2 linked regions of the Caenorhabditis elegans genome follow. The protein of the gene in region 2 interacts with the protein of the main gene of each other region in a pairwise test. Each region holds a gene or a part of one and is shown on either strand. Other genes may lie near its edges. The genes, in order: unc-37 and cog-1.

What was found.
Region 1: the proteins of cog-1 (region 2) and unc-37 interact in a two-hybrid assay, tested with the Caenorhabditis elegans proteins (2 studies listed by BioGRID).

Annotation. Positions count from the first base shown.
Region 1 is NC_003279.8:6,741,470-6,747,628, forward strand, and holds unc-37 (Transcription factor unc-37), read right to left. Parts: upstream 3,861-6,159; 5' UTR 3,856-3,860; coding exon 3,775-3,855; intron 3,723-3,774; coding exon 3,579-3,722; intron 3,327-3,578; coding exon 2,816-3,326; intron 2,729-2,815; coding exon 2,533-2,728; intron 2,480-2,532; coding exon 1,732-2,479; intron 1,214-1,731; coding exon 1,055-1,213; 3' UTR 838-1,054; downstream 1-837. Other genes in the region: cytb-5.2 (Cytochrome b5 heme-binding domain-containing protein), read left to right, coding at 1-295; W02D3.12 (Succinate dehydrogenase assembly factor 4, mitochondrial), read left to right, coding at 520-550, 599-837; fnci-1 (FANCI helical domain-containing protein), read right to left, coding at 4,863-4,925, 5,808-5,943, 6,040-6,131. UniProt on the Caenorhabditis elegans protein: Transcriptional corepressor that functions with the neural specificity gene unc-4 to govern motor neuron identity. In concert with unc-4, represses the expression of VB-specific genes such as ceh-12, thereby preventing the adoption of VB motor neuron fate.
Region 2 is NC_003280.10:14,900,246-14,908,457, forward strand, and holds cog-1 (Homeobox domain-containing protein), read left to right. Parts: upstream 1-2,247; 5' UTR 2,248-2,273; coding exon 2,274-2,585; intron 2,586-2,884; exon of another isoform or gene 2,885-2,885; coding exon 2,886-2,955; intron 2,956-3,089; exon of another isoform or gene 3,090-3,148; intron 3,149-4,496; coding exon 4,497-4,756; intron 4,757-6,765; coding exon 6,766-6,894; 3' UTR 6,895-7,288; downstream 7,289-8,212. Other genes in the region: R03C1.1 (Cell wall protein DAN4), read right to left, coding at 7,354-7,431, 7,564-7,791, 7,836-7,889, 8,033-8,212.

The sequences.
Region 1 (6,159 bases), on a different chromosome or scaffold from region 2:
AGGTGAAGAAGTCATCACTCAATTAGCCGGTAAAGATGCTACAGTTGGATTCCTCGATGTTGGGCACTCAAAAGATGCTATTGAAATGGCCAATGAATATCTCATTGGTCAATTGCCAGAATCAGACGTTCCAAAAGTCGAGACAGCGGCTGCGAAACCTTCGAAAAACGAAAAATCATCATCTCTCCTCAATGATTTCACCGAAATTATGACTTCACCAACATGGACCAACTTCCTGATTCCAACTACAATGGGACTTGTCATTTATGCCGTGTACAAGTGCATGTTCAATTAAATTACCTTAGCTCTTATCCTATTCTTTTGATCTTATGCGCCCACTTTCTTGAAATGCATCAAAGAACATTTGTTTCTATGGACTTTTATATATGTGATAAAGATTTGTTGTCAATATTTTCATATGTTACTGAAGGAAAAATGGGTGGAGCCTTGGAGATATCGATGTAACTTTAGTCGCAAGATTAGTCCTATTGAAACAATTAAAAAAAATATTCAGATCAAATGCTTCGTCAGATTCTTCGTCCAATTTTGAGTATGGATTTTACACAAAAAACAATTTTCTAATTTCTTGACGATTCAGATTCTTCCCGCCGATTCGCAGATATAAAACCAAAACAAAGTGCGAAGGAGAAGGTGATGGCTGAGAAGACACCGAAAGGAGCACTTGATAAAGCAGACGAACAACAATATGAAGATCCTCACCTCAAGAAACATCCGGGAGGTGTGAATAAGTCAACTGGAGAAGTTGGTGGACCAGCTGGACCAGAGCCAACTCGATATGGTGATTGGGAGAGGAAGGGAAGAGTTTCAGATTTTTGAAATGTTTTATTAATTGCTGTTAAAGTCAAGTCAGATCATCATTGTTTTGTAGTGCAAATAAATAAATGTTTTAAACATAGAGTGACATTAATCGTAATAGGGTACACAAATACGAAAATTTGACAAACGAAATTAGAAGAGATGAGAGAGATGAAACGATTATCGTACAGAATAGGGGTTTTGAGTATCATGATCATAAATTCACTGCGGAAAAAAATTAATATTCAACTGCATAGAGAGTTGCCTTCTTCTCCCCTGATCCAGTGACAATGAGTGAGTCGTCGAATGAGATGTCACATGAGAGAACGGAGCTGTTCTCTTTTAGTTGAAAGAGTGATGCTCCGTATGGAGTACGCCAGGCGTTGAGAGCATTGTCCTGAAAAATTGAGATTATGAGGTTTCAATTAGAAAAATTGAGCCAATTACCGTATTTCTTCTATTAATATGGCTGCAATACTATTTTTCGATGGTCTTCCCGCTTGCAAGACTAATAGGGAGTGCAAGAATATTAGGGAGTGCAATACTAATTTTCAGAATATTTTTCTGACTTTGAGCTTACTAGTTTTTTTCTGAAAAAGCTCGAATCTTATGTAAAAATACAAAAAATTTTGATTTTAATTGTAACCTATAAGTTCAAAAACTTCAATTTCGTATAAATTTTGTGAAAAATTGTTGCACAATAGGCAAAAAATATTGTTGAAATCCTGAAATTAGCGAGATGGGTTTGCAATAAAAAAAAAGTAAACGCAAGACTATTAGAGAGTGCAATAGGGAGTGCCATACTAATTTTTGGAAGGTCTCCGAGGGGCAATACTAATAGGGAGTGCAAGTCTAATAGGGAGGCCATACTAATAGAAGAAATACGGTAAATGACAAAGTATAATCAAAACATACCTTTCCAGTTGAAATGAAGAACTTTCCGGAATGCGCAAATTTGAGCGAAAGGACGCATGATTCGTGTTGTGTCAATTGATACTTTTCTTTTCCAGTTGTTGACAGAACCTCGACATAATTATTCTCCATACCAACAGCCACCCATTCATCATTTGGACAACATCCAAGAGAGAAAACTTGGCTCGCAAAATCATGCTTCGCAACTTCCTTTCGTTGTGCAAGATCCCAGCATCTAACAGAATTGTCAAGACCACCTGACCAGAGCTTTGTACCATCTTTTGAGAGATCGAGACATGATGCTCCATCTTGATGTCCAGGTAGGGTTCCAACTTTCACCTTATTATGGATATCATAAATGAGGATATTTCCATCAGCAAGACATGCGAACAATAATTTCTCATCTGGTGACATCGCCAACGCGTAGCATGCTTGTGAATCAGTTTCCAAGTCCAAAGTTTTTGTTTCAGTTGTAAGATCCCAAAGAGCAACAGTACTGGCTTCTCCTCCAATCAGAAGTGTATTTCCATCTTCAAAGAGTTTACAAGATCTAATATAGTTCTCTTTGAGACAATCCAAGGATGCAATTGGAGGCCGATTCACAACCGTTGCGCCAGAAATATCTGATTCTTTGACATCCCAGATCTTAACACATCCTTTTCCACCAGTATAAACACGACTGTTATCACGGGAAATTGTGGCCGCACAAACTACTTCTCCGTGATTTAATTCCATTTTCTTCTTGAGACCTCTGCAATTTTTTTTTTCAAATTTGAATCAAAGCCAATTATTATATTTTCTTACGTCGGAATTCCGGGACCTTTCTGTGCATCTGGAGGGAAGGATGTAGGTGTTGGAACTCCACCGTCCACAATTTTGAATGAATAGGCCGGTCTGCTACCGATTTGCCCGATGGCAGCTGCAAGACGGGCCTGTGCATGGGGATCATTCAAAAAGTTGAATCCTCCAGCAGCACTAGCTTGTCGGAGAAGATTTGGATCTGAAAATTGAAATATTTTGGCATTGCCTGAAGTTTTGGTATTTGCTCCCTCCACTTAGCACACTTCAAAAGATTGTAAACACGTACTGAATCCAGCTAAAAAGTTCATTTGCTCCAATCCTTGAAGCCCAGCGAGTGGCTGCTGTTGTTGTCTTGCTCTAGAATTTGATGCGATGCTCGGTGTAGATGCTCCCGATGAGGCAACACTATTTGTGCTATCTCTTCCATTTTTATTAGCTGCGCCTCCATTTGATGCAGTACTTGGATGATCATCATTTGTGACATCAATCTCAAGTTCTCCATCATCTGGATCTTCCAGCTTGGCCTTTTTCGCTTCACTTGCACCTCCAGAACTTCCACCGGCTCCATCTCCACCGTTGACATGTGGTGATGCGAATTGATTGAATAGTTGACTCATTGCAGGGCTCATTCCGAATGGCATATTTGGCATCATTCCAAGCATTCCAGCTGCACCGGGAGGAAAACCTGGTGGAAGTGCTGGTGCTCCATTTCCATTTTCACGTGGTGATGCGGTTTTGAAAGCTTCCAGTGCGGCGAGGCAGTTTGCTTGATTATCTTGAGATAGTTGAGGAGCCAACTGAAAAATATACATTTATAATATTACCTAAAATTGATTATTATGAATTAAAAATATTACATAATAATTTTTCTTCTATTTATAAATGAATATATGGAAAGAGGAGCATGTTTGAGTTGAACAAGGTACAATCCAATAGATATTATAACGTTTCCATAATATTTAGTTCAAATATTTCAACAAAAAAATTGTAATAGCTTTTTCTATATTTTTGTTCGATTTTTTAATAACATTATTGACGAGTTAATTTACCGATTGCATGATGAATTCCTGAAGGCGTTTGTTGATTTCTTCTGCTTTTCGAAGATCGCTACGAAGAGTATTTGATACTTCAGCGTACGTCATATACGATCTATTCATATTTTCTTTCTCTAACGCAACCTTTTCGATATCCGACTGCAAAATTGTTTTCAATATACTAAAATTTCTCTTACAAAATTAAGCTTACTCGTTGCTGGTTGACATGCTTCGACATTTCCGCATGCTCGTCTTTGATTCGATCGAGGGTTTCCAGATACGATGCCTTCATTTTTACTGAAAATTAAATACAATCAAGTGGATAGTGAATTATTAACATAAAAATTATGAGAGGAGTTTTAAAAATTCGATCAAAAAAATGCAAGGAAGAACAGACTAGTGATGGATTGGGAGAAGACAACAAAACTCAAGAAATAGCACGTGGTTTGAATAGACGTTGACAACGAGACGAAGAAACAAAGAAAGAGGACATGGGTTTCCAGTGGTGTAGACGGAGAGAATCATACATTAATTGCAAAACGACTGGTCATATAGCCCCACTAACGTTGAAGAATGAAGGAGGTATTGGTGTCGAGGAGGACGAACGCGCGGCGATGAATGCGACGCTGAATGGGTGACCGAATGGGGGGAGGAGTTGTCGATAGAGCACATTTGTTTTGAGCTCTTTTGAGCCCGAGTGTAGAAGATGAATGTATCCAATAAGTTTGATATTCAAGTAACACGAGGATCCGAGGATTTCTAACTAATATTTCGAATCAAACACGATGAAGCTGCAACTTACTATAGAGAGAAGCATTTATAAATATTTTACATGTACATAATCACAATTCCAGTATAAAAAACTCACAAAATTATCTAAAAAAACGGAAAAGGTTGAAATATTGAATAAAGAGACATAAACCTGTCTTGAAGAAAATATTTTTAAAAAATCATGTTTAACAAATAATAAGTTTATTGACATGGTATGTTCTTAAATAATTTGAGATTGAAAATCGGTAAGAAAATGAGATGAGAATCAAATGATAATAGTGAAAATTGAGATTCAAATGGAAAGAATAAAAACTCTTGAATGATTCTATTAGATTAAACAACAAGACGGTATACTGTAGCAGTCATGAAAATTTAAAAAAAAACCAAAACATGAATGAAGCTCCATTTTGTCATTTGTAACTAATTAGAAGCATTCCGGAGTGTTGAAGAATATATTACACATATAAAAACTCGAGAGTTTAAACTCATTAGGAAATCAAATATAATTGTCGTTTCATTGCTAACTGATCAGAAGACTGGACTCGTGCCTCTGGAGACACTTTCTTCTTCGTCATCAACCTCCTGCTTCACCTAAAAATACATTTTTAGATTAAGAGTGCAAGTCGTCTCGTGAAAAATATATTCTTGAACACGACACTTGATTTAAGGGCAGCGTAAATTTATATAAGGATTAAGGTAAATGAAGCTATCAACAACTAACAAGGTTATGCCCTTTGATCAATCATTTCATTTCAGTAATTGACACATTCATTTCCCACAATGTTAGATTTTATCGAAAAAGGAGGGATGTGATGGGTGGTTATAAACATTCAAAGATTCGAGAAGGCGATAATTGGTTGGATGTGTGTAACAGATGGTGGTGAGACGATGGTGTACACATTTGTTTGCACTTTATGTCATCATTATGACAACGAATACAATGAAAGTCAGATTTATGTTCCAGAAATAGAAAATTCCCATATAAGGGTCACCTTGGGTCAAATTGATGTCGGTTGATGGAAAAGGGATGTTTAATGGGTGAATGAGAATAATAAAATGTATGTGGTCGAGGCATTTGGAACTACATACATTTTATGTCTGGGATGCCGCTGTTTTAGATCATTTCACAAATTGAAATGAACATTTGACACAAATGTGGTCCTATTAATCAGCGCATTGAAACAGTTTCGCACCGAATATCCACAATTTATATTGAAAAATAATGATTTCTTTTTTATTCAAAACATCATAGGAATTGTTGAAACAGTAAACTATTTTTGGATTTTAACATTTGTAAGATTTTTGAAAGATATGGAGACTTACTTTAATTTTTTCGAAATTTTAATTGCCGAATTGTTTTTTGAAACTTTATTTTTTAGAGTTAAAGTTTTTGTCCAAATAAAATATTTTTCGGCCTTAGAATTAATCAGCTCAAGTAGTGGTTACACAACTCATAAAATCTCGTACACATACCACTCCAACAGTGTTCTCTTGATCTCTTGGCTCTTCGGGTTCTTCGGAGCTTCTTCTTGCAGATGTTGTACTCTCTTCAGTTTCTTCTATTTCTTCATCTTCCATACTTGGGTCCCTACGGCCTCGTTTGGTGGCTCTGAAAGCATCTCGTTACTTGAAAATTATTTAAAGAAACAAAAGAGGATTCAATAATAAACTGGAGAAACAATACTTTTTGAAATTTAAAACGTACGGTTCACAAACTTCTTCATTAGCTTGCCCGCTCAATTTGTTGCGAAGAACTTCCATATCGATTCGGAAGTCACGATATCCAATTGAATTGTTCTTTAAAAATATTTTTGAAAATGTCTAA
Region 2 (8,212 bases):
CACCTGGTCCATTTCCCCCCTATGAAAGAACAATTTCCGTGTGATTTCCCACAGACACCTCTAGATCATTACGTTTCGGGTGGTATAACTCTAAAAGGTGTGCGCCATGTGATTATGATTATTATGATTATGAGCCACTTGTCCTGAGAGAGAGAGCACGGGCAAATTCATTTCATTTCGTAAACGTTTTGATTAGGATTTGATAATAAAATGGGGGTCTCTAGTAGCACCTGCTATTAGATATACATATGTATTTCCGTAAAAGGAATTAGATATCCAGGTTCCTTAAAGGTTTCATTGTTGGTGTCATAGTTTTATTTATATATGCATGTTTACTTTAATTATTTACAAGATAAAAACTACCAAATTTTCAGGAAAGTTAGAAAAATTTTATAAGCTTTTTTTAAAAGAACCTTCGGGTTTTCTAGCCACCCATACCCCTTTCTTATTCAAATTTTTTAGTTCAAAAAGCCTATAATTTGGCAGAATATTTTAATCTTTCAATGATCTTTCGTAAATAAAATAGAAACACGTGTAATTATGAGTAATAGCCAATTCCAAAAATTACTTGGCATTTCGAAAATGGGCACGAAATTTGTTCTCAAATGTTTCGGAATTTTTAAGTTTGACGTGTAATAGTTGACATCAGCGGAAATTGTCTACTTTTTTGAGACGTTTTCATCTTCGGGCGGCAAACGATTTTTTCCGGCAAATCGGCAAAATGGAAAATTAAAGGAATCGAAATTTCTGTCAAATTTGCAAATTGTCGGAATTTAAAATATCAGGCAAATCGGCAATTTGCCGAAACTAAAAATTTCCGGCAAATCGGCAAATTTGCCTGAAAACCGGCAATTTGTGGTTTTGCACTTTTTTTTTTTGAAAATTCCAGAATTTGAATTTAAATCGGCAAAATTTTACTCACCCTATGAATGTTCCTACAAAAAAATTCAAAAATCGGAAAATAGTAGAAAATCAAAATTTCCGGCAAATCGGCAAACCGACAAATGGCCGGAATTGAAAATTTCCGGCAAATTGGCAAACCGGCAATTTGCCGTATTCGCCCACAAAAATTATGCCGAACGGCAATTGGCGCGCACTGCTCATTATTTTTTTTCTGCAAGATCCCAAAAATTCAGCCTAATATCTCCCAGATTTTTTTGTATTACCAGAATTACCAAAAAAAAACTAATACATTAATACGAATTCAAGAATTGTGACAGTAGTAATTTATCGCATTGTTTTTCCCCCAAAAAAATAATATTATTATTACTATTTTCTTAGATTCCAAGTTAATTCTTGGTTAATTCATCTCTCTCCCCCCTCTCCGAATATGTCAAACACTCGGATATTGTTTTTATTTTTTTTATAATTTCTTCTTCTTCTTTTTCCACCAATTCGCATTTAGTATCCAATCAGTTTAATTAAAAATGTACAACTTGAACAAGAAAATAAATGAGAGAGAGACGTATTAGTGAGACTGTATATTGGAATATATTCTTGGTTTTCTATTTTCCCAGTGATTCTGGGAAACGGGGGAATTTTTTTTAATTAGAAAAAAAAAATTTTGAAATTTTTTGAGTTTTTTGGAAACATATAACTTTTCAAAAAAAAATTACAAATTTATGGCTATGGAAATTTTAAATAAACATTCAAAAATTGTTACAAGGATTTTTTTAAATTTAAAACTATTATTATCTTGAAATGCCAAATTATTCTTCATAAGTGCCTGCCTATCGCCTACAGAATTAGGTACACGTGTAAGGCAGGCATTGGATGCCATGTAGACAATTATACATTTTTGTGCCTAAATGGAATTAAATGTTAAATTTAAAAAAATATATTGAAAACAGTTTTTTTCGAAATTCTAGGAATTTTTAAGATATTCAAAAACAGTTTTACCCAATTTATAGAGTTCTAAACCATTTAAAAAATTTCAAAAACTAAAAAAATTACAAAATCACTCTTAAAACCGTTTTTTTTTTAATTTTTAAGTTTTGGAAAATTACAACAAAAAAAACGTTTCCTCCCATTTTTTTGGATTTTTTAATTTTAGAAATTTAATAATTATCACTTTTTCTAAAATTTATAGCCCAATAGTCTTCTGTGTTGTGTCAAAGATTTCCATCCAAGATTTTTGAGCGCTTCTCAATTTTTTTTTTGCAAAAACTTTCACTATACCGGATTAAATCTTAATTTTTCATCTCTTCCTCCAAACTTCTTCAATTAATTTTTATATTAATTTTGCAGAACAATCTCCCCTCTACCATAACCAGATGAGCCTAATCATGTCCGAACCGCCACAACTCACGACGCCCGACGACAAGGACGTCGAGAATCGGAAGCACTCCTCCACCTACAGTATTTCAAATTTGTTGCTCGAGAAGAAGGAGTCGAGCCCGTCGGGCAGTTCCAGTGAGGATGACTCGGCGAGCAGCAATGATGATGATCAGCGGAGTCCGTCGGCAACTTCTTCATTCATTTTTCCGCCAGCTTCATCGTCCTCCTCGTCGGAAAGTGCCACGTCACCAACACAGATTATGGCTCAGCTTATGGCAAATGGTGGAGCAGTTGACCCGGGTCTTCAGGTTAGTGAGCCTCTTATGAATTCTCTCCTTTTTCCAAAAAAAAATAATTAGGCAATTTCCAAAACTTTTCGGCAATGTCAGGCAGAAAATATTTTTCAAAAAAAGATTACCGTAAACTTTTCGGAAGTTTTGGAATTTTTCGGGAAAAAAATTAGGTCAATTTTCAACAATGTGCGTTTTATGAATGTTTATAAAAAATTATTTCGAAAAATTTGGCCGGCATTTTTAAAAGCTAGATTTGGCAATTTTGAAATTGTCAAAAATTTCCAAACAATCTTCCTAAAATTTCAATTTTTCCAGGCATACTTCTTCCTTCTACAGTCCCAGTTAAACAGCCAATCAATGATGAACCGAGTAACACAGGAAAACGGTACGTTCCACTGAGCCCTTCCTAATTTAATAATTATTGGTGTCACTGTGCTCATTGAGCAATACGGGAAGGGGGAGCCTAAATGATTCAGGAGGGGGCCAGCTGCCTGCTACTGTATTCATATGTGGGTGCCTGGAGGGGCAACAATTGCATAATAATCACATTAGGAGTCGATTAGCCGAACATGTGTTCAGATAGACAGGAATTTGAATAATTTTCGATTTTGATGAATTCATAAATTTTGGGGGACGCAGAGTTTTAAGCCACGTATCTCAGGGCTCATGACAGCTATCAAAAAGTTGTCAACTGACAAACTATTGGAAATATTACAAGCTATTTTTCGCCAATTGACCAATTTTTGATAACTGCTCTGATTTTTGAGATATGGTAACTTGTAGTAATTAGCCATGTTCCTCAAAATTTCAATGCCAAACTTTGGCAGCTCATTTCTCGGAAATCCTTGAATGTATAAGAAAGTAGTCAACTAAATGTACCAGACAGCTGTCACGTAAGGTCGAGTTTCATGGCAGCCGACAAATTTCAGTTTTTCAAAATCAAATACTGCCAACTTTCTTGCATGTCTGTTAACCCATTAAGCGGCATCTGGTCTCAAATGCCAATTTACAACAATGTGTGAAGCTCGTAAAACTTTCGAGAATGCAACACACTTGGTTTTACAACCCCTCACCCATATGCCAGGCTACCGTAATAAAAAAGTTATATGAAGACAGTAGAGGGGGATAGTTATAATGAATCCAAAAACTTGCAAGAATCAAGGACGGCGTAATTAATGAGCCAGTTTGTGACGGAACACTGGCTAATTGACAGTTTACATACACACACACAGACACACGCACAATGGACTTTCCTTCGAAAGGTAGCAATAAATTGTCGACTAGCCAAAAAAAAGTTATATTTTCAATGGAACACTTTCCGGATCTATCTCTGAGAAGATAGGTAATATGCTAACCTCGGAAAACCAACACACGGCTGATTGAACACGTTTTCATCATAAATGCGTGGTGGTGGTGGAATTAGGTGCAACAAAAAACTAAGGAGGAAGGTCAGACTACTATGTACACATATGGCTTCCGGAATAGACACGCGGCGCCAAGGGAACGGGTGTATGGGGGATATGGGGAGTTAAGGGATTTATTTAAGGGAGAACTAGCAACCGACACATTGGGGGTGACTTTTTGTGACTCCATTTAACTATTGAAATATGCAACTTTAGTTGACAGCTTTTTGATAGCGTTGAACATCATGGAGCAAGGGTGTGCGGCAAACTTGCCGAACTTGCCGAATTTTCCCTTTGCCAAATTTGCTGTGCTCAGCAAATATAAAAAAAACAATTTTCTGAATTTGCCGAGCTCGGAAATTTTCAAAACTTGCGTGGTGGGCGGCAAACTATTTTTCTGGCAAATCGGCAAATCAGCAAAAATGAAAATTTCCGGCAAATTGGCGAACCGGTAATTTGCCGATTTGCCGAATTTGTCGGCAAAAAATTTTGCCGAAATGCAATTCTAATTTTTAAATTCCAGTAAGCCGAGCTCTCACCTCCTTCAACCTGCTCAACAACCTGCCCGGCGCCCTTCCATCACTCTCCCCAATGGGGCGACTCCAGCACTCAATGCAACTCTCCCCGAACTCCCTGAACATGCAGAAGAAGCAAAGCAGACCCACATTCACCGGCCATCAGATCTATCAGCTGGAGCGGAAGTTCGAGCAAACCAAGTACCTAGCCGGAGCAGATCGTGCACAGCTCGCCCAGGAGCTTAACATGAGCGAGAGTCAAGTTAAGGTAGGCATTTGTAGGCACTTTTTCCCGTGCAAAAATTGCTTTTTCTTCATCAAAAAGTTTGACAAAAGCGGGGTAGTTGAGTCATCATTCCAATACCTATCATTATATTATTATTATTATTATTATTATCATTACATTATGATTGGTACATGATATAGAAGAAAGACACCTCGTCATCATTTTCTTCTTCACACATTTATTGACAAATGGAAAAAGTAGTGGGGGACCGAATTTGCGATTCGGTATCCGGTTACTGTACACATGATACAGCCCATTTCACATATGATTGAATTTCGGAGGGAATATATGTTAGGAATTGGGTTTTATGTATATGATCTTCTAGAAAATTTGTAGAAAAAAGATAACCCAGGAAAATGGGACCTTTTAAATGTTATTATTTTTGGCAAATTGCCGGTTTGCCAATTTGGCGGAATTTCTTAGTATTGGCAATTTGCCGGTTTGCCGGAAATGTTTACAGGGATTTTTTATAAGATTGAAACATTTAAAACTGTGGTTGCGTACAATTTTGCCGGTTGAAATTGAAATTCTGAAATTCTAAAAAAAACGTGCAAAACCACAACTTGCCGTCTTACCGGCAAATTCGGCAAATCGACAATTTACCTGTTAGCCGATTTGCTGAAAATTTTAAATTCTGGCAATTTGCCAAATTGCTGATTTGCCAAAAAATTTCTATTCCACGTGTCATCTAGTCTATTTAATGATTGCTCATAGGATAGTTATGCATAATGGATGTTGTACAACAATTTTCAAACATCTGCCCAATTTCTTGTCTGTTTTCTTTCCGGAAATACTATCGGTCCCTCGGGAAGGCTTGTAGCAGCAGCAGAAGCCGCGGAGCAGTTCATTTCAATTCAAATATTTTAATTTTATTTGATATCATGTGTCGTCGAGTTTTGAGTAGAGGAGGATGGAGATGGACTTATGAGTGACGGATAGGGAAGATGGGAGGAGGAAAAGTTGAATAGAAAAAAAAACATTGGAATAAGTTTTTCATTGTTTCGGAGGGGTTTTGAGAATAATCTCGGCGACCGGAAAAATTCAGCATTTTGTGGAAAAATGTGGAGAATTAAAAAAAAATTTTTAAACTTCGGCACTTTCGACAACATTTCATTAATTTCTGCTTCTGGAAATTTTTTTTAGTTAAAAATTTTCGAAATTCGTAACTTTTGGAAATTTGAAACAATTTTACCACCTCTAAATTGTTGAAACTGCCGGATTTTGGAAAATTGACAATTCAGTAACTAGATAATTTTTTAACTTTTTTTTTGACAATTTACGAGAGCTTTTCCAGTTTTTGCCAAAAATGTCATAGAAGTTTGTCAAACTTTTAAGTTTAAATATGGAAGTTACACAAAGTTTTTAATTTTTCTGGACAATTTTTCAATTTTTAAAAACTGCTACATTTTTGGAACTTTTTGACATTTGTGGCAATGTCAACTTATTTGATTTGATTTATTTAACATAACTAATGCAATTTACAACAGTACAATTGAAATTTGAATGTTAAATAAAAAGGTAAAAAACAAAACTTTCAAACTCTACTAAAATATTGGCACAAAAATCGCCAAGTATGAAAATTTTTTACCAATTTTTCAAATTGCCGCAATTTGAAGCCTCAATTTTTTTTTATTTTTCCGGATTTTAGAGTATTTATGTTAACAGATCCTTGCAAAAGTAACGCAGATCCTTGCAAAAGTAACGCAGATCCTTGCAAAAATTGCACTAACCAAAATTCACTAAATTAACATAAAATCCTACAGTACCCCAAGTAACTTGAAAGTTACAGTACCTCTACAGCACCCATATAAGTCTAACTTCATTTAAACTACAGTAGTACTATAAACTATTTTCTAAAACTACAGTAGCCCATAGATTACTTACTTGATTAAAAAAATTGTATGTGCTTTTACAGTACTCCCATAAATTGAAAATCTCTTAAAACTACAGTACCCCAAACCTAGCTCTAAAAATAATTTCCCTGCTTCCAGGTGTGGTTCCAAAACCGTCGTACAAAATGGCGCAAGAAGGAAGCGGCCGACAATGCACTGGTCAAACGTGGTGCCAGCGGCGACAAGTCTCCTTGCTCACTGAGCCCATTTCTCAGCGCTGGAATTTAGCTTTTAAGCGTTCTACCTCTCCCCCTCCCTTCAACCGAGTGTATTATTCCCCCAATTTGTTTGCAATTTTTTCCTGAAGCCCTTTAAGAAAATCCAAAATCATGACCTTCTTCCGTCTTTACACCTGATTACCTGAATACCAACACCCCACACAGATGCCATGATCTCTCGTCTTTTCTCGTACTTTTGTATAATTTTTTTCTTAATTTTTTTGCATGTTTTCCCATAGTTATAGCCATTTTTTTTTCTTTTTTTTTCCAAATCATCGTCACTTATACAAAAACCAAACTCCCTTTTACCGTTAAACCATGCCCAAATACAAAAAATTTCCCATTTAATTGTACGTTTTTTTCTCTTCAAATTGGATTCTAATGACATAAATTTATTAGATTAAGTAATCGTTGAGGCATATTTACAGATACCAAATATTGTGGGGAACACGAAAAATTAATTAATTATCTATTCGAGTTTCGTTTTGATCGTCTGGAGAACGTTCATGAGCACGTCGAGGGTCGATGGTTGGGTTTCTTCGGCTTTCTGGAAAATTGAAAATGTTTGAAATTTATAAAATTGGCCTAGAAAATGCCTATGTGGCCTAGAAATCCCTTGTGGCACCATGGTCTAGAAACTACGTCAGTGCCTAGATCCCCTAGGAACTCCCCCACCTACCTTGTAACTTCTGAATTTGGACTTCAAGCAGCACACATTCTGAGCACACTGGTCGTATTGTGGAAGGCACGAGCAGGCGGTGGTAGGCACGTTCACGTACATCACACATGTGGTTGTCAGCGGGTATTGGGTGGCCGCGGTGTCGGCATATTGAACCGGGCTTGAGGAAGTTGGCATGGTTGGGGCCTGGGTGGTTGGAGCCTGGGTAGTTGGGACTTGAGTGGTTGGCTGAAAATTGTAAGGGTAAATTCGAAAAATTGAAGGGTTATTACCATTGGTGTCGGGGTGGTCTGAACTGGAGCGTACTCGTAGGTGTCGTATTGAACCTGAAAATGGTCAATTTGCAAAATAGTCGGTGGCGCCGAGCAGCCGACAAATTGCGGGTTCCACCAAACCCCGTGAATTGTCGGCTGCTTGCTTTGAAATGAAAATTCAAGTTTCCATGCTATCATGCCCTCATGCTCTCTACCTGTTGCTGTTGTTGTCCTGGCTGTGGGCACCCACAGTACGCATTTGGTACAGTAACCATCAACGTGGCACAGTTACACCTGCATCCACACCCGGACATGACACTGGTGGTCGGATCAAGACAATAGCACGTCTCTTGTCCGGTGGCCAACTGTCCGATGGCCGGGTATACGGTAGGTGG